Macaca fascicularis: one gene and its partners. The protein of the gene in region 3 interacts with the protein of the main gene of each other region in a pairwise test. Links are inferred from orthologs where the notes say so. Each region holds a gene or a part of one and is shown on either strand. Other genes may lie near its edges. The genes, in order: NME7, MORF4L1, NAB2, PHOSPHO2, NEDD9, TCEANC and RFC5.

What was found.
Region 1: the proteins of NAB2 (region 3) and NME7 interact in binary tests that used the Homo sapiens proteins (3 or more experiments, as listed by UniProt). The two-hybrid records come from large-scale screens. The link is inferred for Macaca fascicularis from reciprocal best matches to the Homo sapiens genes NAB2 and NME7.
Region 2: the proteins of NAB2 (region 3) and MORF4L1 interact in binary tests that used the Homo sapiens proteins (3 or more experiments, as listed by UniProt). The two-hybrid records come from large-scale screens. The link is inferred for Macaca fascicularis from reciprocal best matches to the Homo sapiens genes NAB2 and MORF4L1.
Region 4: the proteins of NAB2 (region 3) and PHOSPHO2 interact in binary tests that used the Homo sapiens proteins (3 or more experiments, as listed by UniProt). The two-hybrid records come from large-scale screens. The link is inferred for Macaca fascicularis from reciprocal best matches to the Homo sapiens genes NAB2 and PHOSPHO2.
Region 5: the proteins of NAB2 (region 3) and NEDD9 interact in binary tests that used the Homo sapiens proteins (3 or more experiments, as listed by UniProt). The two-hybrid records come from large-scale screens. The link is inferred for Macaca fascicularis from reciprocal best matches to the Homo sapiens genes NAB2 and NEDD9.
Region 6: the proteins of NAB2 (region 3) and TCEANC interact in binary tests that used the Homo sapiens proteins (3 or more experiments, as listed by UniProt). The two-hybrid records come from large-scale screens. The link is inferred for Macaca fascicularis from reciprocal best matches to the Homo sapiens genes NAB2 and TCEANC.
Region 7: the proteins of NAB2 (region 3) and RFC5 interact in binary tests that used the Homo sapiens proteins (3 or more experiments, as listed by UniProt). The link is inferred for Macaca fascicularis from reciprocal best matches to the Homo sapiens genes NAB2 and RFC5.

The regions. Positions count from the first base shown.
Region 1 is NC_088375.1:26,996,166-27,000,686, reverse strand, and holds the start of NME7 (nucleoside diphosphate kinase homolog 7), read left to right. Parts: upstream 1-1,547; 5' UTR 1,548-1,634; coding exon 1,635-1,637; intron 1,638-1,813; exon of another isoform or gene 1,814-1,871; intron 1,872-4,521. UniProt on the Homo sapiens protein: Possesses an intrinsic kinase activity. Displays 3'-5' exonuclease activity with a preference for single-stranded DNA. Does not seem to have nucleoside diphosphate kinase activity.
Region 2 is NC_088381.1:56,296,260-56,300,608, forward strand, and holds the start of MORF4L1 (mortality factor 4-like protein 1), read left to right. Parts: upstream 1-1,383; 5' UTR 1,384-1,460; coding exon 1,461-1,500; intron 1,501-4,349. UniProt on the Homo sapiens protein: Component of the NuA4 histone acetyltransferase (HAT) complex which is involved in transcriptional activation of select genes principally by acetylation of nucleosomal histones H4 and H2A.
Region 3 is NC_088385.1:63,886,842-63,891,297, forward strand, and holds the start of NAB2 (NGFI-A-binding protein 2), read left to right. Parts: upstream 1-1,533; 5' UTR 1,534-1,691; coding exon 1,692-1,774; intron 1,775-3,562; coding exon 3,563-4,436; intron 4,437-4,456. UniProt on the Homo sapiens protein: Acts as a transcriptional repressor for zinc finger transcription factors EGR1 and EGR2. Isoform 2 lacks repression ability.
Region 4 is NC_088386.1:65,246,006-65,250,236, forward strand, and holds the start of PHOSPHO2 (pyridoxal phosphate phosphatase PHOSPHO2), read left to right. Parts: upstream 1-1,310; 5' UTR 1,311-1,590; intron 1,591-2,062; 5' UTR 2,063-2,095; intron 2,096-4,139; 5' UTR 4,140-4,231. Other genes in the region: CFAP210 (cilia- and flagella- associated protein 210), read right to left, coding at 1,102-1,150. UniProt on the Homo sapiens protein: Phosphatase that has high activity toward pyridoxal 5'-phosphate (PLP).
Region 5 is NC_088378.1:161,564,962-161,569,424, forward strand, and holds the start of NEDD9 (enhancer of filamentation 1), read left to right. Parts: upstream 1-1,515; 5' UTR 1,516-1,699; intron 1,700-4,463. UniProt on the Homo sapiens protein: Scaffolding protein which plays a central coordinating role for tyrosine-kinase-based signaling related to cell adhesion. As a focal adhesion protein, plays a role in embryonic fibroblast migration.
Region 6 is NC_088395.1:13,442,727-13,447,176, forward strand, and holds the start of TCEANC (transcription elongation factor A N-terminal and central domain-containing protein), read left to right. Parts: upstream 1-1,558; 5' UTR 1,559-1,638; coding exon 1,639-1,828; intron 1,829-3,340; coding exon 3,341-4,401; 3' UTR 4,402-4,450.
Region 7 is NC_088385.1:124,997,242-125,001,022, forward strand, and holds part of RFC5 (replication factor C subunit 5), read left to right. Parts: intron 1-302; coding exon 303-439; intron 440-1,583; coding exon 1,584-1,663; intron 1,664-2,969; coding exon 2,970-3,043; intron 3,044-3,781. UniProt on the Homo sapiens protein: Subunit of the replication factor C (RFC) complex which acts during elongation of primed DNA templates by DNA polymerases delta and epsilon, and is necessary for ATP-dependent loading of proliferating cell nuclear antigen (PCNA) onto primed DNA.

The DNA of each region.
Region 1 (4,521 bases), on a different chromosome or scaffold from region 3:
CTCCCAGAAGGCATTGTTACATCTACTAAAAGTCTCAAAAAAAAAAAAAAAAAAAAATAGGGGTGGTTTACTTCTAAATATTCCGTTTCACCATCCTCACCAATACACTCTAAATTGTCAGAAGTGTGTCCTGAATTTTAGCCAAGCAATGGCAATGAAGTTACTGTGGTGGTTTTTTGTCATCCGTACGACAAGAGGAATTTTAAAGTAATTACTTTCTTAGGAGACATACTGACACAATTCGTATGCACACACAGACACACACACACATCAAAAAGGAGCTTCTGTTTAGATGTGTAACGAACGAGAAAAAATATTACTCAAGATAACATAATTCATATTTTTTTGGTAATAAAGTTAAAATAGTGTAGCTCCAAAAGTAAAAAGAGAAACATATATTGAGCACATGCTTTCAGAAATGTACACACTGCCTACAGTACAGACTCAGATTTACTAGAAAACATATAAAAAGGTGATGCTACTGCAATGATATAAATATGACAAACTGTACACTAGATGACAACTGGTGTCACTACAAAAAAAGATCGCTCTCAGTACTAGATACAACTCAGTTCAATTAGTGAACCCGACGACTAACTTTCTTAACAGTCACAAACTTTTCTACACTACAGTCTATTGCTCCGAAAAGAGGTATCCAAAAAACCCTTCGTAAGAGTAACGATCCCTGAAACTGCCCTTGATAGTTGCTCTGCGAAACATACAGGCACACCGAGTGCGTGCTGGCAAATGCCAAATGAAGGTGAGGGGGTGAAGAAGTAAGTAGGGGGAGTGAGCAGGTATGAGAGCGATAGGCCGGGAAGCGACAAGTCTGTCAACCTTTGCTGTCCCGGGAAGTCGAAACCGAAGTTCCATTCCTGTCTGAAAAAGCCTTCCCGGAACAACAATCGTTCCCTAAATCCAAAGCTACTGGCCACCAAGCTCCAGCCAGACCTCCGTCCCTTTCCAACATCCTTAGTTATACCTGCTTGTCCTCGGATTTACCTGTAAGATTCTTATTCTCCGTATTTCAGGGGACTTCACTTCATAGGCTCTTCGGATCGGTATCACCAGGCTAACTTCTCACAGACCTCTTCCATTCAGAAGCCGGCCCGCCCAGGCCCTCCACATATCCAGGAGCTCTCTCACTCCTAACCACTTCCGATTACTCAGGGTTTCGCTTCCGGAATACGTTTCCAAAAGAGAAGGGTAAATACATTCTGCAGTGCGTTTAAACTCAAGTAACACAGAACACACACTGTAAGGCCTCCGTAAGTGGAAAGCGGACAGATGTCTACTTTAAAATAAAATACTGTACAGCAACTTTTGGAGCCCAAGCCTCAGATTCACTTAAACTTCCGGGCCAGCTGTTAAACAAACGGAAGTAAAACTGCCGGAAACAGAAAAACGGCGTCTCGTAGCCCCAGGCGACAGCGTGGAGGGGCGGGCCTGTCGATTGGATGAACGCAGCTGAGATTACTCCCAGCCACTAAGGACGAAGAGGTGGGGCGGTGGCGTCCCACGCACCGTGCGACAGTGGGCGGTGCTCTGTTGCCTGAGTAACCGGATGATGGTGTTGGTGGTGGTGTCTTCCTGTCTCAACGATACCTATTTTCTAGTGCTGAGATCCTGAGACAATGGTGAGTGCCAGGGGATGTCAGAATAACGGCTGTGGGTCCTAGCTACTTAGCGTTCCAAGTCTTCGGGCGGATGGGCACTTAAAGTTGTCCTGTCCTCCCGACCTTCTCCTCATTATCTCTTTCCCCCTTCCCATGGGCTGTTACTGCAGTTTACTCGCTCTCCGTATTTCTTACAGCACCCTGAATTCCACTGATGCTACTAAGTCTCTAGAGTAATGAAACAGAAAATTCAGGGTAAGGCATCGAGTCTAATCACCTGTTTTGAACAACATTATGTGTTTTCATTGTTCATCGTGGCATTTTTCATGCTCACAGATTCACATTAACGCGCTTTATTAAGAGTGTGGGGTGGTGTGTATGTGACTGTCTCAACACTGATCTGAATCTCCCTAGATCTTGGAGTCCTTTTGCTTTTCTGAGTGGCAGAGCACTGCCCCACGCCCCCACGAGGGCCATTAACAGATGTATGTTGGATCAGCTCTCGTCTGTCCAGTTGCTTACCTTCTAGGTCTGTGCTTGCTTTTCTTTTCTTTCTTCTTCTTCTTCTTTTTTTCTTTCTTTTTTTTTTTTTTTAAACAGAAATTTCTCCTGGGATTGCTTGGAGAGCTTCTGCAATTCACTGTTTGGACTTCACCCCTGGAAATTCTGAATGAAAGGAATGGGGCTTGGTATTTGCATTTTAAATAAACCTGTAGGTGATTTTAATTCACCCACATGTTTGAGAGTACCAGGGTTCTAGTTAATTCACTTAACTATCGTGTCTTTTAAGCACTTATGGATAATGGACTGGAAGATAGAAAGATCTTTAGATAGTTATAGCTACGAATTTAGAAACAGAGCCCCCACCCATCACCCCTTGTTTCTTCATACTACTCAGCAATCCTTTTGGTTACCCCAGTTTTCCCCTGCCCCATTTTCTGTAAAGACATTTTCAAACCTTCCATTTATAAACCCTGTCTTTTGCCCTTCTCATTTCTCCTTTCTAAACATGATGGAGTATAACAATTCTTCAACCTCATGCCCCCAACCTACACACTGATCTATATTTTTGCCAAGCCTTTAGTCTTGTATTTCTAGTGTAGAGAAAGGGATATTAAAGGATAATCCATCCATCTTTGCTTTTGATCTCATTTGCTTCCATCTGTTACATTTCGCTTCCAGTTGTCTTTTTTCTTTCCTGTGCTTTCAGCCTCTTCCTCTTCAGTTCCTTCTACTCAGTGCTCAAGTCACACATCTTATGAAAATTAAATAAAGCAAAACCATGTCATCCATCCTGTGTTTATCCAGTTATTTCCCAGTCCTCCTATCTATCAGTAAACTTATTGAAAGGATATTATTTTTACTTATATCAAACAGACAAAAGTCTTTTGTCTGGCTTCTTTAATGCCTTCAAGAAAGTTGTTCTTGCTTAAGTTTCTAAAGGCCTTTTAAATGCCAAATACAGTAATTACTTCTCAAAATTTATATCGCTTAGTCTGTTTGTGACAACTGAGGTTCATAGTCATTAATTCCTTTTACTGGCTGTGCCTGGTTTTTGAATGTCATTCTTTGGAATTCACTCCTTAATTACTTTCATTTCTTAGTCTAGACATTTTCCTTGGGTGATTTTGTCCACTCACATGGATTCTATTAACACCTTTGATTTTGCTTCTAAATTTCAATTTTTCTCTCAGATCTACTAATGCCTAACTCAGTTGCTTCCCGGACACATCTGTCTCAAAGGTCCCTCAAACTTAATATGACCAAAACTGAACTTGCTATCTTTCCTCCTGGTTTCTCCTATTTTCACCAAGTTAAATACTGCTACTACTATATTGTAACCTAAACTAGAAATCAGAGTTATCCTACATTCCTCCCTTTCCTATTTCTCCCATATTCAGTTGGTCACTAGATCAAATTTTAGTTTGTCATCTCCTCATTTCTTGATTATTTTAATAGTGACTTTTACAGTCTGGTCTGGAAATTCTCCAATCCATTATTTTCTCTGCCACAAGAAGGAATTTTTAAAAACCCAGCCTGTTGATTTACTCACCTCCTTAAAACTCTAGAATCCCCATTTCCTACAGTAAAATGTCTAGAGTGGCACACAAATTCCTCCATGAACAAGCACTTCTCTGTCTAGCTTTTGCCTTTCCTTTTCCATACCTTTTTTTTTTTTTTTTTTATAAAAAATTATCTTGCCTTTTAGCTACTTGCTTTTCATTGAACATACCAAGCAACTTCAAACTGGTAGTATGCCTCCTCTTTCTACTTTGCACTTGCAATTCCTTCTGCACAGAATACCTGCACCCTCTTGTTGCTTGCCAAACTCTTATTTATTCTCCTGTTACAGGCCAACGTGTTCTTCTTGCCCGCTTCCCAGAAAGGCCAAACATCGAGAATGCAGGAGTTGCAGCAGAGAAAGAGTTTAATGGAGGCAAGGCAGCTGAGTGGCAGGATAGGAGATATTTCTAAAATCCACCTCTCTGACAGCTTGGAGGTTGTGGTTTTTAGGGATAATTTTGTGGGCAGGTGGGTAGGGAGTGGGTGCTGCTGATTGGTTGGGGATGAATTTATAGGTGTTTCCAAACTGTCTTCCTGTGCTGAGTCAGTTGTCTAGGTGAGAGTCATAGGACTAGTAGAGTCAGTTTCTTGGTATGAGTCATGTATCTGGGTGGCATCAGGAGGTTTGCCAGAATGCAGAAGCCTGAAAAATATATCAAGACCAATCTTAGGTTTTATAATAGTGATGTTATCTAAAGGAGCAATTGGTGAAGTTACAAATCTTGTGACCTCTGGCTACATGACTTCTGAATAGTAAGAAATTGTAGAAAAGCAAGGACCAGTAGCTGGTTATTGCTTACCTATGCCTATATCTTAGCAGATTTTAGATCCCTCTTAGAAT
Region 2 (4,349 bases), on a different chromosome or scaffold from region 3:
GGTTGGACAAGCTTGCAAGTAGCAGCCGTGACAAGATGGTGTATATTCAACTGGAATAACGAAGGTTTTTGTGGGTTTCTGTTGTCGAAGAAGGGGTTGTGTTAAAAAGACTGAAGGAGAAATGGAAGTCAGAAAAATGGAGAGGGGCCCGGAAATGGTAGGGTGTGGCACCCGGGCAGGGGAGGGCTTAGAAAAGCCATGGAGGCAGGCTGGGCACGGTGGCTTGCTCCTGTAATCCCAGCACTTTCCGAGGCCAAGCCGGGCGGATCACGACGTCAGGAGTTCCAGATCAGCCTGACAACATGGTGAAACCCGGTATCTACTAAAAATACAAAAATTAGCTGGGCGTGGTGGCACGTGCCTGTAATCCCAGCTACTCCGGAGGCTGAGGCAGGAGAATCGCTTGAACCTGGGAGGTGAAGGCTGCAGTGAGCCGAGATCAGGCCACTGCACTCCAGCCTGGGCGACAGAGCGAGACTCCATCTCCAAAAAAAAAAAAAAAAAAAAAAAAAAAAGAAAAGAAAAGAAAAATATATAATATTGAAGAAATCCGTTTGTTTAGTGTGTGTACATTCAATCATGGCTCAAAAATTAGATGACAAAAAAGTACAAACAGGGCAGGTACGGAATGCAGAGGTTGGCATATTCACACTAGCCTTTTGCGGATAGCAGAGCTCCATTATCTCAAAAAGCCAAAGCCTGACTAGTGTTTCCCACGTCATCTTCCTCATTTCCGCAAGGCCGGGACTGGAGAAGAGGAGGTAGACCTGGGAGCCAACAAATGGCTATCAATCCCACCAAATAGACTAGGCAGTGGGCTTGCTAAACAACGAAGCTTCCAGAAGCGGACCCCACTTCCCATCCTCTTGTGGCCACATTGCTGATCCTAAAGCTTTTCTATACAAAAACTAGCGGAATGCTATTGAATATAGGTTTTCGAGGCAGCCCTATTCTCTCCGGCTACTTCAACATCAATGGGGGCTTATTTGCCCAAAGGACGTCGCAACTGGGTTTTTCCCATTCTTTCATCGCTGGTGGTTCACCGCCCCCACTCTCCCCCATTGCCCGCTCTGCTTTAACCTCCCACGTAATCAATTCCCCGCTTTACCAACCCGCAGCAGCCCGGGGGATGGGGAGTGGCGGGGGGGTGGGGAGGAGTGGGGTAGGGTAGCCGGCCCCTCCCCCACCCAGCTGCGCCTCCACCAACTAGAAACTACCAGTCCCGGCGTGCCCCGGGGCGGCGCGGGCGCAGGGGCGCGGGCGCGGCGGGTTGTCATTGGCTGGAGCAGCGGCTGCGCGGGTCGCGCTGCTGTGAGGTCTGCGGGCGCTAGCAAATCCGGCCCAGGATGTAGAGCTGGCAGTGCCTGACGGCGCGTCTGACGCGGAGTTGGGTGGGGTAGAGAGTAGGGGGCGGTAGTCGGGGGTGGTGGGAGAAGGAGGAGGCGGCGAATCACTTATAAATGGCGCCGAAGCAGGACCCGAAGCCTAAATTCCAGGAGGGTGAGTGTGCGCCTTTGGGAAAAAGGCACCTAACGGCGCAGGAGATGGAGGCGGGCTCGAGGTGGTTGAGGTTTGAGGGCCGGGGGTGGCTCGGGGTGCACCCTGAGAAGGCGGCGGATAGTGCTTTGTGCGGGGAAAGCGCATTGCGGATGGCAATTCCGATGCGTCATTGCGAGCGCTTTGTGAAGCGAGAGTGCTACGCAGGCGTTAGAGTGGGAGAGGGAGCGTTTGGCGCGTGGCACACCCTCGTCAAGTGTTTGTTATTGTTCTGAGGAAGAGGGCGCGGAGAGAGCAGCCTATTGTAGGGAGGCGACCAAGGCGCCATGGCGGCGGTTAGGGGAAGTGATGTGGCGGCGGGGGGAGGGGCGGCGGTGGTTTCTGGCTGTCCTGCAGCGCGCCCGGCCGCTTGGGCAGCCACGACGGGCGGTTAGGTGCTCCCTGGAGCCCCGGGGTGGTCGCGTTCGGTGGAGACTCGGAGCTGCAGATGGGGGTGGGTTTGGCGCCACGGGGCGGGAGAACTGTGTTGTAAAATGGCCGTTGCAACATGGCGGCTTCATCATGGCCGCTGGCGTCTCTGCCCCGTATGCAGGCGCAGCTTCAGGGCAGATGCAGCGCCCCCTTCCACGAAGACCGCAAGGTTGCCGGGACCCTTCGCTTACCTCAGAGTGGTGGGTGGGGACAGAAAAAAAAAAAAAGGATCAGTGGGATGAGCGTTTTCCTCCGCTTTGTGTTGCCTGGAGGCCTTACTCTGCTCTTAGGCGCAGTGCCAAGATCCTATGGTAATGTTAGTGCGCTCTCGCTTTGCAGTTGCTCGTAAAAAGTAAATAAAAATGATCTGAATGCAGTGTTAACGCCGTTTGCCTTTGTAAGTCCCATTGTCTCGACGTCATTTTTTAAATGCAGTAATTGTTTGATTAGTTGCAGTGTTTAACGGTGACTTGAAAGTTGAGTTTATTTTTATTAATTGGTTTTCGATTGGCATGTTTGGCTAGGGTTAGACTGCCAGTGGAAGGCAGCTCTTTAAATTTTCACAACGCTTCAATTTATGTATAATAAGGTGGAGGTCTAATAGCTAAAAAGGAAGTAAAATCCTGTTGAAAAGGAGGAACACTCTAATATTCGTTTTCATTGCTATCGAAATTTATGCTAGTTACCGTAAATACGGTGTTTCCATGCGTACTATTTTTGTTCTAGGGATTTTTAGACTTGCATTAAAATTCCTTTTAGAGACATAAATCTTAAACCGTAGTACTGCGTATCTTATGGGATATTTAAGGGAGTTTTAGGGGTATTTTGTTAACGAGTGACTTTTTTGTTTATATATATATATATATATTTTTTTTTTTTTTTTTTTTTGAGACGGAGTCTCGCTCTGTCGCCCAGGCTGGAGTGCAGTGGCCAGATCTCAGCTCACTGCAAGCTCCGCCTCCCGGGTTTACGCCATTCTCCTGCCTCAGCCTCCCAAGTAGCTGGGACTACAGGCGCCCGCCACCTCGCCCGGCTAGTTTTTTGTATTTTTAGTAGAGACGGGGTTTCACCATGTTAGCCAGGATGGTCTCGATCTCCTGACCTTGTGATCCGCCCGTCTCGGCCTCCCAAAGTGCTGGGATTACAGGCTTGAGCCACCGCGCCCGGCCTGTTTATATTTTTGAGACGATGTCTCACTCTGTCACCTAGGCTGGAGGGCAGTTATGGTACTCGGCTCACCTCTGCCCCCCGGGCTAAAGCGAGCCTCCCAAGTAGCTCGGATCACTGACGCGCGCCGTCATGCCCGGCTGAGTTTTGTTCTGTTTTGTTTTTAGGGGTTTTTTCTTTGTGGGTTTTTTTTTTTTTTTTTTTTTTTTTTTGTATTTTTGGTAGGGACGGAGTTTCATGATGCCCAGGCTGGTCTTGAAGTCTTGGGCTCAAGCGATCCACCCGCCTTGGCCTCCCAAAGTGGGAGGATTACGGGCGTGAGCTATCGCGCTCAGCCGTGTGACTTTTAATACCCTTCTCCCACCTTGAGAATCTGTGACTCTACCTCCTATGGATTCATTATTTTACTAGACGTTTTAGAGCAGATATTCTTAGTCAGTGCATTCAGAGGGTCCGTGAAATTGAATGAGGAAGATGTGTTTTTTCTGTGTACCCAAGTTTAGTTTTCAGTTAACAGTGTAATTCCTCCCCCCAAACCCCGAAAAAAAACGCCGCATTAGTATTTTCAGTGTATTTTCATATCTCAGCATTACAGTTGTGGAAGATGTTTTCAGTTATCAATCATTCTCGTTTCTTCAAAATTAGGGTAGTTGCTGGATGACTAGCCAAGTCTTTGTCCTGTAATGTCATAGAACGTGACATTTAAAATGTTTTGGTGTTTCGATACAGTTGGTTGCCTTTGTACTACTGTGTGTTTTATGTATTTATGAAATCATTCGGCTCGTAGGCTGTATCAGACAAGGCACAAAAAGTTAATCGCTTCTGTAGGAACAGCCTTAGGTTGGCTGTTTAAGGAAGCGCTTTAGTTCTAGAGGGTTGCTAGTTAAGAGGGGAATAGCAGCAGAGAATTCCTTGTGCCTTTTTTTTTTTTTTTTTTTTTTTTTTTGAGACGGAGTCTCGCTCTGTCGCCCAGGCTGGAGTGCAGTGGCCGGATCTCAGCTCACTGCAAGCTCCGCCTCCCGGGTTTACGCCATTCTCCTGCCTCAGCCTCCCGAGTAGCTGGGACTACAGGAGCCCGCCACCTCGCCCGGTTAGTCTTTTTGTATTTTTTAGTAGAGACGGGGTTTCACCGTGTTAGCCAGGATGGTGTCGATCTCCTGACCTCGTGATCTGCCCGTCTCGGCCTCCCAAAGTGCTGAGATTACAGGCTTGAG
Region 3 (4,456 bases):
ACTGTGTTTGGCGCTTAATAGGATGAAGAAGGGGACCTGAGCAACTGAAATCCCCCCACCAACAACGCGCTCATTCTCCCCGGACCCCACAAGGCGGAAAGGTCTCCTCTCTAGGCCAGAATGTAGAACCAGCCCCAGCCCACGGCCTCCACGCCCCAGCCCCTCAGAAGTGCGGACAGAGGAGAGGGGCGGGGCGGGGCTCAGGTTTCGGACTAGGGGAAACCTCACCTGTGGCCAGTCCGCTGGCTTCCCTTTGTCCCCCACCAGCCCCCCTTTCCCTGGGGCTTAGAGCCTTTGGGCCGGGCCCTCAGAGCCCCCGCCTCCCCCAACAGCCCTCCCAGCCGTGGGCGGGAGTGCAATGCGAACCAGATGGGGCTAGGAGAAACCAAAGGGGGAGACGGTGGTGGGTTGCAGGGGGTGGGGGACTAAGCTCCTTCAAGGCGCTCCTCCCTCCAGCTCCGCCGCAGGAAGTCACGTCGGAGGCTCCCGACCTCTTATCTTCCACTTGACTCTCGGACGAGGTCCCTAATAGACGGCCCCAGGAAGAGTATCGTCTTTGTCTCAGCCTTGCCACACAAAATTCCCAAGCAGGGCCTCATCCTCAGCAAACAGAGGACAAGTGGAGGAATCCCTGCCTGACCTACGCGCTGACAAAACCCGATGCGTCCAATCAACACGCGCACCTAAGTGGTGGCATGCAGCATAACCCCCCCATCCCTGTTTCCCAAACTTTTCCAGGCTAGCATGGAGGCCTCGGTTTCTGAAAGCTGCCCCCTCAGATTACTCCACTGGGGGGCTGGGGAGGGGCGCGGGGATATCTAGGGGATCCCTGCAGAACCCCACGCTCTCAGGCCTGCCTTAAGTGCACACATATTATGGGAGTCAGATGCACACGCAGGAGGAGCCGCACACCCCAGCCTTCGCGAACTTTTCCCGACTGACTCCTAACATTCACAGGTCCAGCACCACAAGGCCTGAGTGTGGGCAACGGGCGTCCCCGTCGTTGTTTAGGTGCGTGTGCACGTCCGTGCGCTTCTTTGTGTACTTGTGCGTGGTTGTGAAACTCCTCTCAACTCGGAGGAGTGGGGGAGACTAGGAATGTCGCCGGCGGGGCGCTCACGTGGGTACGTGGGCGCCAAGAGGGCCGGCTGTGCATCCGGCGTGGGCGGCACAGAGCGACCTCGCCCCGCCCGCTGCGTCCCCAAGCCCGCCCTCCACAGCCGGGCCTCGGTCACCTCGGTCCCCAATTCGGCGCCTCGGCTCTGAATCCCCGCCCCCGCCTCCTGCTCCACACCCCCTCCCCCCAGTCTCCGCCTCTCCCAGTCTCTAAGCCGCGGCGTCTCCGCGGCCGAGAGGCCCTGGTGCCCGCCCCCCGGCCCCCGCCCCCACCCCCGCCCCCGGCTCTGCCCACGCCCTCCGCCCGCCAGCCCGGCAGCCAGCGCAGCGCCGGGCCTCGCTCCCCGTGCGTCCTGCGGGGGCGGAGGCGCGGAGAGGCGGCGAGCGCAGCCGGGGAGGGTGGGGGGGCAGAGGCACAGACAGAGGCGCGGAGGCTCGGAGAGAGAAGACGTGGAGGGAGGGACAGAGCCTGGACAGCGGTGGACACGGCATCGTGCGCGGGGCAGAGTGCAGCACGCAGCAGGCGCCGAGCGCTGGGCACCGAGAAGAGCAACCCGGGTGGTCTCCGGCCGTCCATGCACAGAGCGCCTTCCCCCACAGCCGAGCAGCCGCCGGGCGGAGGGGAGAGCGCCCGCCGGACCCTGCAGCCCAGACTCAAGTTAGTGGGCAAAGGGAGGCAGCGGGGAGTGGAGATGGGTGGAGCTGGACTTGGGAATGGGGTCCAGAGGGCGGAGGTCGAGGGGAGGACGTGGGGAAGCGGGACGGGGGTGGGGGGTGGAGACTGATGGAAAAGGGGGTGCGTCTTCGAATTAGGGGGCCCTGGGAGCAGGCAAACATCTGATGAAGCTGGATATGAAAGAGTAGTACCTAAATATCCATTCCTGGTTTACTCTGTGGGCTCTCTCTGGCCTAAGTGCCCCCTGTAAAGAACGTGGGAGCCTCCTAGCACCAGGGAATGCCCTGGAGCTCGAGCTGGCGTCAGTGCGGAAGGTGGGGGGACGCTCAGTTGCCTCAGTCCCTCGTTGGCACGGAGCGCGCGGGCCCCCGGGGTCCAGGAGAAGGCGGTGCCTTTGAGTTAAAGGAGCATCAGCTGGGGGAAGGGGGGTGACGAGGGAGGCAGGGAGGCCTTAGGCAGTTCCTTCCTATGTCTGTCCCTTTATGCACAGAGTGGGGAGGGGAGTTTCAGTGTGCAGCCCCTTCTGCAAGAGGCCTTGAGCCTCTCCCCTACTCCACTTGAAGATGCGGGTGGAAAATAAGGGAGAGGAGAGTAGGCGGGAGCCCCTGGGCGGTTTTCGCCCACAGACGCTACCACTGTGGGAGTGTGTGTGGGCGGAACGGCCCCGGAGCAGAACAATTGCGCCCCTCCCCCTGCCGCAGCCCCTGAGCTGAAGGAAAAGGCCGACTGAGGAAGTGGGGAGTGTCACTGCTAGGAGAGGGGCCACTGAGGAGCACTGGGCAGCCTGGAAGGGTGGAGAGGTCCTGGGGGGAGAGAGGAAGCGTGCTGGTTAAGAATGCTTAACCAGGCCATTCTTAACCAGGCCGGGCGCGGTGGTTCACGCCTGTAATCCCAGCACTTTGGGAGGCCAAGGCGGTTGGATCACGAGGTCAGGAATTCGAGACCACCCTGACCAACATGGTGAAATCCCGTCTCTACTAAAAATACAAAAATTAGCTGGGCGTGGTGGCGGGCGCCTGTAATCTCAGCTACTCAGGAGGCTGAGGCAGGAGAATCGCTTGAACCCAGGAGGCGGAGGTTGCCGTGATAGCCCCACTGCACTCCAACCTGGGTAACAGAGCGAGACTCTGTCTTAAAAAAAAAAAAAAAAAAAAATGCTTAATCCCTCGGAAAAGCTGAGCGGAGAAGAGCAAGGCACCACCTGGCTCACTGAGTGGGAAAGCCAGGGAAGGTGCCACACCCTCCCTCCTAGCCACCTGGGGCTGTGGCTCCTTCACAGGGAATGAAGCTGGCCAGCAGCGTCCACTGTGCGGGAGACAGGGGTTCTACATTCACTTTAGTATAGGCGACTTCACTTTAGTGTTGAGACTGCTGAGTGTTTAGGGTGGAAGGTGAGGATTGTGTTTTGGGGGAGAGGGAGGTCCAGCCATCCGAGGTCGGTGCTGGTTAGCTTCAGCGCTCAAGTTCTTCTTACCTCAGACCAAAAAGATATAAGCTGAAGATAAGGTTTAAGAGGCTTCGACTCCTGCAGACACAGGGCACTGGTTTTTGGGGCTTCAGGCCAGTCTAGGACAGCACTGGCTTGTCCATGCCTCTGAGCAGTGCCTGATTCTCAGAGTCTGTACTCAGACCTGGGCACTGCGCAGGACAGCATCCAAATGAGAGAGGGGAAGAAAAGCAGGCAGGAAAGAGGGAACAATTGTTAGTGTGGGTTGGTACCCAGTAGGGGACTTGCACCGACTGCCTCTCTCTTGTGCCCCTCCTTCTCAGGCCCAGTGCCCGAGCCATGGCACTGCCTCGGACGCTGGGGGAGCTGCAGCTGTACCGGGTCCTGCAGCGTGCCAACCTCCTTTCCTACTATGAGACCTTCATCCAGCAGGGAGGGGACGACGTGCAGCAGCTGTGTGAGGCGGGTGAGGAGGAGTTTCTGGAGATCATGGCACTTGTGGGCATGGCCACCAAGCCCCTCCATGTCCGGCGCCTGCAGAAGGCACTGAGAGAGTGGGCCACCAATCCAGGGCTCTTCAGTCAACCAGTGCCTGCTGTTCCCGTCTCCAGCATCCCGCTCTTCAAGATCTCTGAGACTGCGGGTACCCGGAAAGGGAGCATGAGCAATGGGCATGGCAGCCCAGGGGAAAAGGCAGGCAGTGCCCGCAGTTTTAGCCCCAAGAGCCCCCTTGAACTTGGAGAGAAGCTATCACCACTGCCTGGGGGACCTGGGGCAGGGGACCCCCGGATCTGGCCAGGCCGGAGCACTCCAGAGTCGGACGTTGGGGCAGGAGGAGAAGAGGAGGCTGGCTCGCCCCCCTTCTCCCCCCCTGCAGGGGGAGGAGTCCCTGAGGGGACTGGGGCTGGGGGGCTGGCAGCAGGTGGGACTGGGGGTGGACCAGACCGACTGGAGCCAGAGATGGTACGCATGGTGGTGGAAAGTGTGGAGAGGATCTTCCGGAGCTTCCCAAGGGGGGATGCTGGGGAGGTCACATCCCTGCTAAAGCTGAATAAGAAGCTGGCACGGAGCGTTGGGCACATCTTTGAGATGGATGATAACGACAGCCAGAAGGAAGAGGAGATCCGCAAATACAGCATCATCTATGGCCGTTTCGACTCTAAGCGGCGGGAGGGCAAGCAGCTCAGCCTGCACGAGGTGAGAACCCCCAGGCCTCC
Region 4 (4,231 bases), on a different chromosome or scaffold from region 3:
TGTTTTACAAATAGTTGCACACATCTCTGAAACCCTCTCCTACTTAGCCTTCCCCTAAAAATGGAGATTAAAATTTAGCAGCGAGGCTCGGATGGAGGCTTGTGAGCTAGTTGACACAAAACATTATTTAACAACTATTAGGTAAATCTAAACCAGGTAGTGCAGAAATGCATATGCAGGAAAGTGAATATGTGGGAGTAATTGTGCTTTTCCAATACTTGCCATATTGATACTGTTTCTTTCCTTTTACATGGCAAAAGTCCGCTGCTAACCTCATGAAACCTCCACTGCATAAATATCCACTAGTGAAGAATGACTGGCTCTCACTCTGCATCTGGTGCAGGGGGCACTATTGCTACAGAAGTTCGGGCAATGACATGAAGATACTTCAAACTGCCAAAGTTCTAGTTGTCACCATGACTACATTAATTGCCAATTTACAGACTTAAGAAACTGTCGTAGCTAGAATTGATAGAGTTCTTTAGAAGTCTATTTCTATTCCAAAATCAAATTGTTATAACAGGTCATCTGAATTACAATACTTTATGTCGCACGATTTTTTTTTTTTAAACTCTATGCAAGCATTTGACTTAGAGAGATACCTTATATTTACTTTAGAGAGGAGGAAATGGAGAATTTCCTTCAGAGACTTTTAGTAAAGACCAATCAGCAAGTTTGCAGCAGAGCCAAGACTCTAAAGAGGGGACTTATATTTCCAAGAGATATTCCAATTCAATCAGTGAATAACAAACTTTAAGCGTGCCGGAAATTTAACAAAGCCCAGATTCTCAGAGCTGCAACTGCGCAGTTTTAGGTTAGCTGGGGGTGGGGGGTCTCTGATTTCCTATCTTTTCTCCACCCCTATTTCTGTAAACATTCTCCCACCCACTTCCACTCCTCGTTTCCCTCCTTCATCCATTCACCTGAGGGCAAGATGGCCTAACTTTACACAGAGCCCAAAGATGCTTATTGAGGATGCTTTCGACTTGATGGAGTCCATTTCAAAAAGCAGCTGAAGCTCTCATTCGGCATCCTCGCCTCTCACTCCATGCCGGGGATCCAGAAACAATCCCTGTCCCTGGATAAGTCAGTGTAGCTCACCTGTACTTTCCTTCGCCTGTCCACAGCGTCGTCCAAACCGTACCAGCATCTCTGACGAGGTGTCCACGGTGCGCCCAGATCTGGAAAAGTGACTGTAGCGCCATGCGCCGCGGACTCCAGCCGGTGGACGTTGTTACTCGAACCACGCGGTTGCTTGGCAACGCCGCCGGAAGTGACGCCAGCCGTCGCCGAGGAACAAGGAAGGCGCTGCAGTTGGCGGTCGGGCTAGACAAGAGAGGCGCCTGCGCCCGCGCCTGCGAGCTGGGCTTGTGAGTGGGGCTGCCCAGCGGGCAGGCGTGGGGCGAGGCCAAAGGACTGAACCCGCAGGAGCGTCACAGGCGCCGGGGCGGCTGCCGACGGCGGGCCTGGGTCAGTGAGAAGGCCGTGGACCCCCGCCCTGCCTGCTACTCCCATCCTCGCCTGCTGCGCGCTCCATGGGGAACGACCTCCGATTGGGTCCGATGCCTACCCTCGGGGTGGAGCCGGCAGGTGTGTGAGCGCGCGAGGCCTAGCCGTGGTTTGTGTGTCCCCGATCTCCTCGCGGGTGGAATGTGAGGAGCAAAGCCCTTCCTTAACTATAAAAACCCGCGGATTCGCTGACATAAACGCCGTTTTTTTAATCCTTTGGTTTCTGGGGCATGGTCAGGACTAGATGGGGCCAAGTTTTTTAAAAATAGGAATGTTAAAACTTAATGATATGCTTAGAACATTTATGTTAGGACCTTTGAGATATTTTAAATTTATTGGTAAATACAGGACCACAGAAATCTGTTAGGAGTAGCTGCGCGTTTGGTTTCAAAAGATCCTTTTCTAATACATTGATGTACAGATAACTTCATTACTAACAAGTTGGCTCTGATGTGTACACATAATGCACCAAACTGGAGTCTCTCAAAGTGAAAGAACAAAAAGATTTTTAATAACGAACGTCCTAACACACAGTCGTGCTATTTTTCTTTAGGTTTTCTATCAGATGTTCTACGTAATAATGCTGGTAAGTATGGAATAATTAAGAAAATATTTGTAGACATAAATTAGTTTGTGCACATAGAGCGCTGGTAGGTTTTTGGAAGCATACCTTAAAAAGTCAAGAACTGGGGGCCAGGCGCGGTGGCTCACGCCTGTAATCCCAGCACTTTGGGAGGCCGAGGCAGGCAGATCACGAGGTCAGGAGACGGAGACCATCCTGGCTAACACGGTGAAACCCTGTCTCTACGAAAAATACAAAAAAAGTTAGCCGGACGTGGTGGGGGGCGCCTGTAGTCCCAGCTACTCAGGAGGCTGAGGCAGGAGAATGGCGTGAATCCGGGAGGCGGAGCTTGCAGTGCCAAAGTGTCAAGAACTGGGAAGGAACAGAGATTTTACCCTGTTTGCAGGCTAACTTAGCCTGGCAGTTTCATGGAAGACAGAAGACTATTCGTTTCAGGAATGAATTACCCCCAGCAGTAGCCAGTATATCAGCAATTTTGCCTGAGTTCCCTAAAGCCCCAGTTCCCACAGGATAATGCAAAGTGGGCAAGAAGTCACCTAGATGTAGAGTATGTTGAATTACAGGAAAGCAGCCCTGAGCTTAGGGAACCCAGATCTTTATCATTTGGACAAATAAGCATGTTTCTCAAGGCTGTCCACTGTAGAAACATCCTTGAAACAATAGTGGAAAGAGCAGTCAGTAAGACATGCACAACCACCAGAGACGCAGGGAGAATTGTCCCCCAACAAAAATTCTCTGGAATTTTAACAAAATTGGTTACAAAAAGTGTCGAATCTCATGATTTGATGTCAGTTACTTGCCAATTTGACATGGTGGTCAGATATAATTTGACTTCAGACTCGAGCTTCCAACTCCAACCACAATCCAAGTCAATCTAGAGTTGTTTGTCCTATACCCACCACTCTTTTTTTTCTTTGTTGTAAATTTAATAAGGTAGCATATGCACTCTGATCTGAAACAGTTTAAATTATTCTGAGAAGAAAAAAATTTTATTACAAAATTAATGTAGAAAAAGTGTGAACTATGGTTGAACCAACCATAACCATTCCACCGCACATGTAAACATTTTCTAAAACAACAGGATTATACTGTACATACTATTTTGTGACTTGCTTGTTTAATTTGAACTGAATATCTTAGCTTTTACTGGCTGGATATTCTATTATATGCTGTCACATGCATATCTTATTTAATTATTTCCCAATTCTTGGATGTCTGTGTAGTTTCTAATTTTCTTTTTTTTTTTTTTTTTTTGAGAGGGAGTCTCGCGCTGTCGCCCAGGCTGGAGTGCAGTGGCCGGATCTCAGCTCACTGCAAGCTCCGCCTCCCGGGTTTGCGCCATTCTCCTGCCTCAGCCTCCCGAGTAGCTGGGACTACAGGCGCCCGCCACCTCGCCCGGCTAGTTTTTTGTATTTTTTTAGTAGAGACGGGGTTTCACTGTGTTAGCCAGGATGGTCTCGATCTCCTGACCTCGTGATCCGCCCGTCTCGGCCTCCCAAAGTGCTGGGATTACAGGCTTGAGCCACCGCGCCCGGCCGTAGTTTCTAATTTTCATTGTGTAAAGTACACAGGATATTGTTACACTATGGAAACATTGCAGACATACCAAATGGACATAGATTGTGCTTTTGAAGAGAACCGTTAACTCTTTTTGGAACTTTAACAGATTGGTTTCAAAATAGATTCACATTCTTAAAACTAAATCTTTGTGCATATCCTTAATTTTTGGAGACATTTTAATTTCTAATGCAGCACTAAATCTCTAAATGTCTATTGACAACAGAATGTGGAATTCCTCTATTATTAAACAAGTAAAAAGAAAAAAATGGACTCTGAAAAATCTCAGTCAGCTTAGCACTATGATTTTATCCACTGGACAAAAACTTATTTTCACGTAACATTTCTTATTTTCGACACCAAGTCAATACCAAGTGGAAAGCAAAACTTTGTTCTCCTATTGCCAAGAGATACTTTCCTGACATAAGAAAAACAACATAATTAGAAAATACAAATGTTAAAGCTTTTAAAATACTTTTATTAATTTTAGGAGTTAAGAAGTTTCCATTATTTTGCTCCAAACCAGAAGACTCTGTTCCCTGTATATAGAATAGGAGTAATGTTTGAAAACAACTGGCTGGT
Region 5 (4,463 bases), on a different chromosome or scaffold from region 3:
TGGGAAATGCATAAAAGGACATTTTGATAAAACATGTACTATCCGGACTTCTCTGCCTCCATCAATTTATTATAAATACTCTGTACTATAAAATAAAAACTTCAGAGTAGAATAATTCTAACTCAAATCTGGAACCATGTGGATACATAGCACGTACTCAAGAATGGTTTTGTAAGGAGAGAGAAAGAGAAGAAGGAAGAATAAAAGCATACCTTGATGAATATTGTTCATTGCCCTTAACACGTACAATATATGTATGATGATTAATACTGATGTTCTTGTTACTGACTTATTCATAAGACCCAACTGTACATGGCACTGAGCTGAGTGTTTATTGCTTTAAGTGTGGCATCTTTGTATGAGCAGAATATTCTTTAGCAAGATTTGAACAAGCTCAAACATTTAAAATTAAATGAATTTCAGAGAAGTCTTACAGAAAATTAAAACAAAACAGAACAACAACAAAAGAGATGCCACAAGAGCGCAACACACATGAGCTGAGTCTGATGGGTGGGACCAAGGGCGGCCCTTTCTTTGTCTTCATGATGGAGCAGGAACAAGTTGGAGCAGAAACATCAGGCACCACAGGATCATTTGGGGACATCCATTATTCAAACCACCTCTCTCTCTTTCCTCTCAACCCTCTATGTCCTCAAGGCATTTGCTAGGCACGAGCAAGGAGTGGAAAATGAGGAAGGGTAGGAAAATAGCAAAGATCTCAGTTGATAATAATACAAAGTTGCCACTAATGATCATAGCAAACACTTACATTGTGCTTACTCTATTTGTGCCAGGCACTCTTGGAGTGCTTTACATGTACTAATTTGCTTAATTCTCACAACACTCCTGTGACTGTTCCCATTTTACAGATGAGGAGGCCGTGGCACAGAAAGGCCAGAAGTGTTTAAAGAGCAGAGTTATAATTCAAACCCAGGAGGCTTGTCTCAGAGCCACTTGTCTGCTACTCGAAAGCACAGAATGAAGAAGACAAAAGGTGTGGGCTTTCAAATTCCCGTCCACATACACAGATCTAGGCTTCCATATCACATTGTAAGTAGGAAACTCTTTGAGCACCTAGCCCCTAGCATAGTGTCTATTCCAGTGTACAAGCTCAATAAACACTTGTCTTATGAAAGAATGTTTTGTGTCAATTAATAGTGGAACCCTTTGCAACATACGAAGTCCATAAAACCATAAAATCCCAATTCAGTTGGCTTGGAAATGCCTAACTTTTGCTTCAGTGCAGCCTAGGAGGGAGCTTATGCCACGCAGAAAAATACATTTTGACAAATTTCCTTGCAATACTAATTTAAAGATCACCTTTCTAAAAATAGCAAAGAAGCCAGATGAGAACAAGCTTTCTTACCTGTCCCTAAACTACAATGTCCTCAGCGAATCAGAAAGTGTGACCGAGAAAAAAAAGAAGAGGCACAGAGAGGAAATGAACCAAGACAACATCACTTCACAGCAACCGGAAGGAAAAACACACATATACATACGCCACTCACATCCGACGTGTGTGGTGGCTCAGTAGGGAAATGCTTACAGCTGCCTTTAGAAGCAAGTCCGCTCGCTGCATGGAGAGGGAAGCATGAGCCTGCAGCAGGACTAGCTGTCACCTCCCGCCCGCCGGCCCAGAGACAGGGCCAGAGCGTCAGGGAGGCAAAATGATCCATCGACGGTGCCATCCTGCCCTTGGGTGAGTTCTCAGCCACTTGCCGTGGCCTGTGGGAGAGGAGGGACTCACTCAGGCTCCTACTTCCTGAGTCGGTGCCAGACATCTGGTGGTGTTTCCCCACTGTGAACACCCCTCAACTGGGTCAGGGAGGATCTCCACGTGCCCCAAAAGAGGAATGAGTGACTCCAGGTCTCCGAGTTGACCTGGAGGTGCTGGTTTTAGTGCAACATTCAAACCCGCAAGATTTCTACTTTTGAAATTGTTCTGGGTGGATGCTTCCTGGTGCGTAAGTACATGGCCCCTCCCCTCTTCTTACTGTTGTCAGAGAGCTTACCTGACAGCAACTAAGCTTTTTTTTTTCCTGAATTATTTCAGTACTTCAAGGTGTGAGCCGTCACTTATTCTTTATGATGGATTAGAATCATTTACGTCCTTTTCAGCCTCTTTGGGCATGAGTCCTGACTGGCTAGAAATGGTGACTGAGAATTGGATTCTGTGTGTCCTATCCCTGTAGTCATTAGCATCATCTCCAAGGGACTGAGGACAAGTGACAGCACACTGTGTTCTCCCTGTCCATAGTGGGCCACCCAAGAGTTCCATCCTTACTTTTCTCTATGTTTATTCTTTCACTTAACCCATTCATTCATTTCTTCCTTCCTTCATTCATTCAATTGCCTTTCTTCCATGAAGGACTTGAGGCAACCTTTTCATCTTGCTGAAATTATTTCAAAATGAAGACCATCTATAATCACAAAGGGGACGATCGTTCTGAAAGGGTTATATGTAGTTCCAAACTATGCAGAGATCGGCCACCAATCTTTTCCCTTTGCTTGTGTTGAGAAGTGAGAGTAGGCACTCTAGTCATTTAAACTCCTGCATAAAGAGGCCCTCCTTCCCCTGCCCAGAAGCTGGTTTCTCACCCAGAATTGGGTGTAAAGAGCAATTGTCCATGGCAGAATCCTGGAAATCAGCCAAATAGTTTTCTTCTTTGTTTCTGTTTTCTTCCAAGCTTGGTTACTTTCAAGGACATTCCCGTTCTAAGAATGTGGGGAGTAGAGTTGGTGGAAAAGAAAGGATATGAAATCAGTGTTCAGCTAGCGCTCCACCATTTCTTGTTAATTGGTTAATTTATTTAACACCTATTTAGTGGCTGTCACTTTGTACGTCACTACTTAAACAAGATAGCTGGGCGCAGTGGTGTGTGCCTATAGTCCCAGCTTTGCAGGAGGCTAAGGTGGGAGGATTGCTTGAGCCCAGGAGGTCAAGGCTGCAGTGAGCTATGATTGCACCACTTCACTCCAGCTTGGGTGACAGAGTGAGATCCTGTCTCAAAAAAAAAAAAAAAAGAAGAAGAAGAAGAAGTAGGAGACTAGGAAGATAGAAGCAGAGGTGTAGGAGAGGACAGGCTGTACGGGTCAAATGATGTAATTCCTGGTGTCTCTTCCTCTACATGTAAATAAGGGGAAAGAGCTATATTGAATGGCTGTGGTAAGGATTAGATTGGAAAGCAAACATTTAAGCATCTGGCAGAGAAGGGGTGTCCGAAGTAGTCAGTGTCCTGCCTCCCTCCTCCAGGCCTCACTGACTGAGCTGGCTGCTGACAACCTGAGTCTTTAACTCATGACCTGAGAGCTTTCTCCAAGTCACATAGGGCCAACTGCAATTGCCCAAATGACAGACGAAAATTCCCAGAAATGAACTCCTCAAAGGCTGTAAATATTTCAGCTCCCTCAGTCCTGAGTGGAATAATCTACATGGGATCAAGCTCCAGTTGCCCACAGTGGTGGGGCCCTTTATGGCTTCTCTCCTTCCCTGTATACTCCTTCACTCCCCGTCAATGCTTCCTGGGATCATTTCTTAAACTACGTGTCCTCGAACTCTGCATTGGGTCTACTTCCGGGGTAACCCAAGCTAAGACCACCAGCCACCTCCTGCTGTAGGTACTTAAAGAGTTTAGTACTCTGTTCTCCAATGATCAGCTCCATCTCCATTTGACCTTAGACTCTGAGTTTTGATTTCCCACATATCCATTCAAGGATCCCCCTTCTCTTCTTCTGGATTTGGCTTGGAGAAAGGGCACAGGCACAGCTCAGGGAGAGCACCTTAGGCTCAACGTTTCTTCATGCAAACCCACACAGCACAAAGATGTGTCCTACTGCAAATGACCTTCACTTTGTCCTGCTTGTCTGTCACCTTCACAACTCATTTGATCAAAATTTCTGTAGTGTGAAACACAAATAGGAGAATTTTGTGTAGCACAAGATGCATAGACAAAGCATGAAGTCACATTGAGCCTGATCTTAAAGCCTTTCTAACTCTTGGCTCCTTACTGTTTTAACAAAGAGAAACTCCATCTGAGGCTCGGAGCCATCAACAGGCACTGGTAGCTAGCTACAAATTATTAACATGGCTTTATTTTCCTGTACGTGTTTTTTATGATTACCTTGTATTAAACCACAATGGCCTGTTTTTTTTTTTTTTTTTTTTTTGTAGGAGTGGTATAAACATTTCTTTTAAAATATAAATGTATTTAAGTTTTTTAAAAAGTGAGTTTATGATTATTATTTTTTTTGAGACAAAGTCTCGCTCTGTCACCCAGGCTAGAGTGCAGTGTGACTCACTGCAACTTCTGCTTCCCAGGTTCAAGTGATTCTCCTGCCTCAGCCTCCCAAGTAGCTGGGATTGCAGGTGCCCACCACCACGCCTGGCTAATTTTTGTGTTTTTAGTAGAGACAGGGTTTTGCCATGTTGGCCAAGCTGGTCTCAAACTCCTGACCTCAGGTGA
Region 6 (4,450 bases), on a different chromosome or scaffold from region 3:
CAAGCTGTTCAATATACTTGAGCCCTCCCCAACTCGTTGAAAAGTTTCCTAACAAAGAAGAAACATTCAATGTGCCTGCATTCTATATGCATTACTATTGAAGAAATCAGGGAGGGAGGTTTGCTAGGCATTGAGAAAGATGGTTAATAAGAGATGGGCCTACAGCGCCCAAAAGGAAGTTAAGCAATATTTGACTCAGTTCAGAATTTCTCAACTGAAGGTCTGACTGAGTTTCAAGGTGATTCTTAAAGGGAATTGTAATTATAGCTTTGGGGTTTCAGTGGAGTGAAAGCAGTAATTTGTCTTACCGGCAAAATGAGTAAATCTATAGAAGTTAATGTATTTATGTATAAACAACCAAAGCACTTTGCTCTTCATTTTATATGTTCTTTTATTGACCTTTATATTTCTTTAAAAATTTTTAATTGTGATAAAATATACAAAACATAAAATTAACTGTCTTAAGCTCCCCCCCCCAGCTTTTTTTTTTTTGACAGAGTCTTGCTCTGTCACCAGGTTGGAGTGCAGTGCACAATCTCAGCTTACTGCAACCTCCGCCTCCCGAGTTCAAGCAATTCTCCTGCCGCAGCCTTCCAAGTAGCTGGGACTACAGGCGTGCCCCACCACGCCCAGCTAACTTTTTGTATTTTTAGTAGAGATGAGATTTCACTGTGTTGGCCAGGATGGACTCGATCTCTTGACCTCATGATCCACTCGCCTTGGCCTCCCAAAGTGCCGGGATTGCAGGTGTGAGCCACCACGGCCAGCCTGTCTTAAGCCCTTTTAAGTATACAGTTCAGTAGTGTTAAGTACATTCTCATTCCAGAGGGAAAGTAGGTAGAAGGTGATTGATTCATTGCTCATACCATTTTTCAGTAGGTATATCTTAAATGTATATAGTTTATCATGAAATTACATTAGACTAATAACTTTTCTGATTATGAAAACAATACACGCTCATCACAGAAAATACAGAAGAGGAAAAGAACAAATGAAAATTACCTAAAATCTTGCCATTCAGAAAATGCCCCTCTTTAAAATTTTGTGTAACTCTTTTCAGTCTTTTCACATGTAATTCTTAAATAAAATTTGGATCAGATTCTATTTTTAAATAACACCTTTATTCAGATGTAGTTCACACATCATACAATTCACCTAAAGTGTGTAATTCAGCGTTTTTTAGTATACTCAGTTGTATAACCCATAACCACAAATAAATCAACTTTTAGAAGATTTATTTGTGCCACCACTCCCCAAGAAAATCCCTGAACTTTATCAGCTGCTCCTCCTTCTTCACCCTGCTGCCCTTCTGCCCCACCCTACCTAGTCAACAACTAATCTATTTTCTGTCTCTATAGATTTGCCTGTTTTGGACATTTCATGTAAATAAAATCATGCAATATGTGGTGTTTTCTGTCTGGCTTCTTCCGCTTAGCATAATGTTTTCAAAGTTCATCCATGTTGTAACCTGTATCAATACTTCATTCCTTTTCATGGCAGAATAATATTCTGTTGTGTGGATAAATCACATTTTATTTATCCATTCATCAGTTGATGGACATTTCGATTATTTCCCATTTTTGGCTATTGTGAATAATGCTGTTATGAACATTTGTGTACAAGTTTTTGCGTGGACATATGTTTCCATTTCTCTTGGATCTGCTGGGTCATGATAACTGGTTTATTTATTTATTTTATTTTTTTAGACGGAGTCTTGCTGTGTCGCCCAGGCTGGAGTACAGTGGCATGATCTTGGCTCACTGCAAACTCCGCCTCCCAGGTTCATGCCATTCTCCTGCTTCAACCTCCCAAGTAGCTGGGACTACAGGTGCCTGCCACCACTCCCAGCTAATTTTTTGTATTTTTAGTAGAGACAGGGTTTCACCATGTTAGCCAGGATGTTCTCAATCTCCTGACCTCGTGATCTGCCCGCCTTAGCCTCCCAAAGTGCTGGGATTACAGGCGTGAGCCACCACGCCCAGCCCATATGATAACTGTTTAATCTTTTATATAGTTTTACATCTTGATTGTTTTTCACCTAACTTTATGACCATTTTTCCATGTCATTAAATAACTAAATACATGATTTTTAAATGGTTATATTATTGTATCTAAGGAGTGTGCCATATTTTTAACCATTCTCCATTTAACCATTTGAGGTCCTTCCAATTTCTCCTTAGAAAAAAATTCTTACATATGCAGTCTCCACATCTCTCATTTCCTTAAAGTAAATTTACGGAAGTAGAATTACTAAAAGGTCATTATGTTTTATGTCACTTGTCAGATGGTGTCTGGGAAGATTGCATGAATTCTCTCTCTAAACACTTCAGTGTTCTTAGCCTGTGTATGTTCAGTGGTGATTATTTAACATCAAGTGCTATAAAACAGAGCCCATGGATTTTTGAAAAGACACAGTCCCTGCCATCAAGATGCTTATGTTCACATCTAGACCAGACAGATAAATATAGATCCAAGGGTATTATATAGACAAGATTATGTACATTATGTGGAGAGGAAAAGGTAGACTGCTTAGATAAAGTAAACGCTTGCCTGCCTAGGATGAGATTCACACAGACATAATCATTGAGCAACTTTTTACGCTTAAAAGTTTTTAAAAAATTAACAAAACCAAAATGTAGGAACCAGTTAGTCTAAAGTCATAAATCATCTGGATCATTGAGTCTGAACCTTTCCCTTGTTCAGGAGACTTCTGAGGCAGCACAGTGTAGCCTGTTGGCTTTTGGGACCCGCAGACGTAGCTCTAGCTGCTTTTCAACCTGTGCTGTCTCATGGTTTCTTTAGATTGCTTGAGACATTAGCAAACCCTTTCTGTCTTGTTTCTTACTCTTTTATATTCAGAAGAGTACCACTTTAAAGATTATGAAATGAGCAAGTAGTTCAATTATATAGCTGACTCTGGGGAAAAATTGTCTAGCACTGTTCAGCATTGCCATATTGATGCTGACACTGGCATGATTTCATCTCCAGCATGACCACCGGATTCCACCCAAATGGATTGACTACTCTAGAAAGATCATTGATTTGTAAAATTGGAGATGGAAAAGCTATAGCAGATCCCCTGGCGAGCCTCTTAAGCAGATGTTATGTAGAGGCTCTGCAATACTGTTTGTTTATTTTTCACTAGTAGGAATTAAACTCTTGAGAGTAAACCATACCACCTTAAAGACTCCGTTTTCTAGTATGTCACATACATTTGTATTACATGACTCCTTCAGAAAACAATGCCTAGGTTACTGACAGAAACTGCTATTTTCGTATCCAGAAGCTGCGACTAGCAAAGGCAAACTTAAGAAAACTGAAACCTCTTTTTTCTTTGCAGCTGTAAAGATGTCTGACAAGAACCAGATAGCTGCCAGAGCCTCCCTTATTGAGCAACTGTTGTCCAAAAGGAATTTTGAGGATCTTGGCAACCACCTTACTGAGCTAGAAACAATTTATGTGACTAAGGAACATCTCCAGGAGACAGATGTGGTGAGAGCTGTATACAGAGTCCTCAAAAACTGCCCCTCTGTGGCTTTGAAAAACAAAGCCAAGTGCTTGCTATCAAAGTGGAAAGCTGTTTATAAAGAGACTCACTCCAAAGCGAGGAACAGCCCTAAATTATTTCCTGTGAGGGGTAATGAAGAAAATTCAGGACCTTCTCATGACCCAAGTCAGGATGAGACACTGGGCATCTGCAGCTCAAATTCTCTATCTTCCCAAGATGTTGCAAAACTCAGTGAAATGATTGTGCCTGAAAATAGAGCCATTCAATTGAAACCTAAGAAAGAGCATTTTGGGGATGGTGGCCCTGAATCCACTGGTAAGAGATTGAGTGAGTTGCTGGATCCCATAACACCCATGAGAACTAAATGCATAGAGCTTCTTTACGCAGCTTTAACTAGTTCTTCTGCAGATCAACCCAAAGCTGATTTGTGGCAAAACTTTGCAAGAGAAATTGAAGAGCATGTTTTTACCCTTTATTCAAAGAATATCAAAAAATATAAAACTTGCATCAGAAGCAAAGTTGCCAATTTGAAGAACCCCAAAAATTCTCACTTACAACAAAACTTGCTCTCTGGTACCATGTCTCCACGAGAATTTGCTGAAATGACTGTCATGGAGATGGCAAACAAGGAACTGAAGCAGTTGAGAGCCTCCTACACAGAATCTTGTATCCAGGAACATTACCTTCCCCAAGTAATTGATGGCACACAGACAAATAAAATAAAATGCAGACGCTGTGAGAAATACAATTGCAAAGTCACTGTAATTGACAGAGGAACACTTTTCCTTCCCAGCTGGGTGCGGAATTCAAACCCAGATGAACAAATGATGACTTATGTAATTTGTAACGAATGTGGGGAGCAGTGGTACCACAGCAAGTGGGTGTGCTTTTAACTGTAAATGAGTGTTCTCTTAACAGATAACCTGAGTGATTGATACCTTT
Region 7 (3,781 bases), about 61 Mb from region 3:
TGCAACTCAGTGGAGTAAAAATAGCATTACAGCGAATCATTTAAGTTTACAGATGTTGTCAGCACCCAGAAAGGTGCCTGTAACACAGTAGGCCCTCAATAAATACTTGCTGGCTGGCTGCACTATTGAGTGAATTCCAGTTGCCCCAGGAACGCAGAGACAAGGCCCCTACATCAAGTTGCATCTGCCTCTGATTTGGACATTGCATTGGGTTGAAGAGCTTTCAGCCCAACTCAGGGGCCCAGGGTGAATGAGGCGGCTCCCAAAGACTGATGGTGCCCTTCTTCCTTCCTGATCCTCAGTTCAGAAGTTTATCAGTGAAGACCGACTGCCACACTTGCTTCTCTATGGTCCCCCAGGGACAGGCAAGACATCTACCATCCTAGCCTGTGCGAAACAGCTGTATAAAGACAAAGAATTTGGCTCCATGGTCTTGGAGGTAAATACAATTGTTCTTACTCCACAAATAACTTAGGACTCCAGTCTCTGAATTTCAGTTCTGCTGGCTTTATTTTACTTTAAAAGTAAGTTGCCCCATGGACAGTTAGGAAAGAAGTAAATTCGAAATAAGATATTTTAATTCCCTTTTTCCTATAATGGTCATTTTAGTCTGGATTAGTGTTGGTCAGCTAGAGGGCAGTTGTAGGGCTAGGCACCTTTTTCTTTGCTGTTGCCAACTTCTACCCAAACCCTCCTTTATGGTTACTTGGTTGCAGCCTGTCTGCCATGGCCCCTCCAGATCAATTCTCCACATCTCTCCACCCTATTCCTGCCTGGAAGGCTGAGCTCTACTGACTATAAGCTTACTTAGCCTCTGGCTCCTGGTTGGGTTTGGCCAATAGAGGCCTTGGCAGGGGTAGGGGAAGGAAGTGAGTGATGCCGGGACCTTCCCTGAGGGCTGACAGGCTGGCAGCATGGCCCATCTGTAGGGTACATCTCACAGGTGGTACCTTTCCTGCAGCCCTCTCCAGGTGCCTACAGCCACTCCCTTCACTAACCCCTTCAGGCTTAAGGGTCACGGGTATTGCATAGCCCCATGGTTTTCCTATTATCGCACCTTTAAAAAGATCTCCTTGTTTAATTCTCTTCAAATTGCTGCGTTTGAGTATGCCATCTGTATATTGCTGCGACCTTGACTAACATACTTAGATTCAAAAATGTGAATATTGTCTATTGCAAGAAAAGTTTAATTTACCTTTTAGACGCGGGTCTCAGAACTTTGCTGCTACTAATGTCCTTATGTCAGTTTATTAAGAACTTGGTAACCTTGGGATTGTGGTAGCTGAAATTCGTATCATTCTGCTCATACCGGAGGTGCTATTCAGTGTAACCATACCAATTAATTATTTCTCCAGCTTATGTCAGTCATTGTCCTCAAACGGTGGGGGTAATATAGCCATCTTTATTGATTTAGTGAGTTTTGTGTAAAACTGATTTTTTATTTTGTGATGATCTCTTAGCCATCATTAGACATAGAAAGCTAACCTGCTGAGCTGGACTGATGAGGAGATACATTAAAACCAAGAACTCACAGATAGCATAGCAACATGCTTTTTGTTTTGACTTCTGTCTTCCACGTTTAGCTGAACGCTTCAGATGACCGAGGAATAGACATCGTTCGAGGACCAATCCTGAGCTTTGCTAGCACAAGGACAATATTTAAGTAAGAATTATTTGTGTAATTTCGCTCCCTTGATTTTGATTAGTAAGATGACATGGCTTAATTTTTTAATCCTCTCCTTAGCCAGTTTATATGGGTTGAAAAAAAATACTGACTTTGTCCAAAGCAACCATGGAAAAGAGATAAAGGAGAGGATGGTAGTAAGAAGTACTATAATGCAACTGCTAAAATAAAATGTTGTCTACACTTATATTAGCAAGTTCTTTTTTTTTTTTCCCCTTTTTTTTTGGAGACAGGATCGCCCTCTATGGTACAGGCTGGAGTGCAATAGCATGATCTCGGCTCACTGCAACCTCCACCTCCTGGGTTCAAGCGATCCTCTAGCCTCAACCTCCTGAGTAGCTGGGACTACAGTCGTGAGCCATCACGCCCAACTAATTTTTGTATTTTTTAGTAGACATGGGGTTTTGCCATGTTGCGTTGGCTGGTCTCGAACTCCTGAGCTCAAGCAATTTGCCTGCTGCAGCCTCCCTGAGTGCTGGGATTACAGACGTGAGCCCAGCCTGTATTACCAAGTTCTTTAGGGAAGCATTCTTCATTTTTAGTTCCTGAGAACTGGTTAGATTACCCTAAGCCTGGATGAGCTAGTTTGAATTTTAAAATAAATTGAGATCAGGAAAGACAACTAGGATGGTGGCTAAAAAAAAAAAAAAAAAAGAAAGAAAAAGGGTGAGGGCCAGGAACAGTGGCTCACACCTGTAATCCTAGCACTTTGGGAGGTCTAGGCAGGTGGATCACCTGAGGTCAAGAGTTCAAGACTAGTGTGGCCAACATAGTGAAACCTCGTCTCTACTAAAAATACAAAAATTATCTGAGCATGGTGGTGGGCGCCCGTAATCCCAGCCACTCGAGAGGCTGAGGCAGGAGAATTGCTTGAACCTGGGAGGCAGAGGTTGCAGTGAGCCGAGATTGCGGCACTACACTCCAACCTGGGCAACAGAGCAAAAACTTCGTCTCAAAAAAAGCGAAAGGGTGAGAGACTCTGGTGTGAGTGAGGGAGATGGGGAAAGCAGTAGCATGGTAGGGTGGTATGTGGAGGAAAGTGAAGATGCCAGAGGACACAGCGCATAGAAGTAGAGAAGTCAGTCCTCCATTCCCACCAAGTGTTGAAGGAGTGATGGGGCATTTCCTCTCTGAGTGACCAAAGATGTCTGTCTTGGCCAAAGTTCTAGAAGAAATAGCCTTTCCGAGACAGGACCTGATGGCACAAATGGGAAGATGTAGGTTTGAGCCCCGATGTTGAGGTGAGATTGAAGAAATCTTTAGACAGCACCATTTGTTTTTCTAGGAAAGGCTTTAAGCTAGTGATCTTGGATGAAGCAGACGCCATGACTCAGGACGCCCAGAATGCCTTGAGAAGAGGTAAGCAGAGGCACTGTGGAGTGTGTGGGCTGGCGCGCGCACTAGAAGGAGAATTAGGAACTTCGTGTTTGTTGCTGTTGTTATTGTTTTTTTGGGGGGGGGAGGGGATGGTTTTGAGTCAGTCTTGCTCTGTCGCCAAGGCTGGAGTACAGTGGCGCGATCTCAGCTCACTGCAGCCTCTGCCTCCTGGGTTCAAGCGACTCTCCGACCTCAGCCTCTCAAGTAACTGGGATTACAGGCATGCACCACCACAGCCGGCTGATTTTTATATTTTTAGGAGAGATGGGATTTCACCATGTTGGCCAGGCTGGTCTCGAACTCCTGACCTTGGGTGATCCGCCCACCTCGGCCTCCCAAAGTGCTGGGATTACAGGAGAATTAGGAACTTTGGACATGAGATATGGCATGACTTGTTTTCAGTTTTCATCTTCTGGCCCAGAGAAATCTCTATGCCTTTCTGTGTGTCTCCCATCTGATGATACAGGCAAGATACCTCTGCAGTGGGACCTTCCCCTTCAGCAGCCTAAGGACTAAGCCCTGCGGGGACTTTTAAGTCTGGCCAGTCACTGGTGTTCAACCTCCTTTGACACTGGGTTCAATTTCAGGGTTGAGAATTCATATCTTTCCATGGGATGGGGTGTGGAAAATCTTTCATCCCTAAACTATCGGATAGTCCTTTCTGCTAATAGTACCCTTTCCTTTCTGCTAATGGTACCCTTTGAACCACAATAGCTAGGA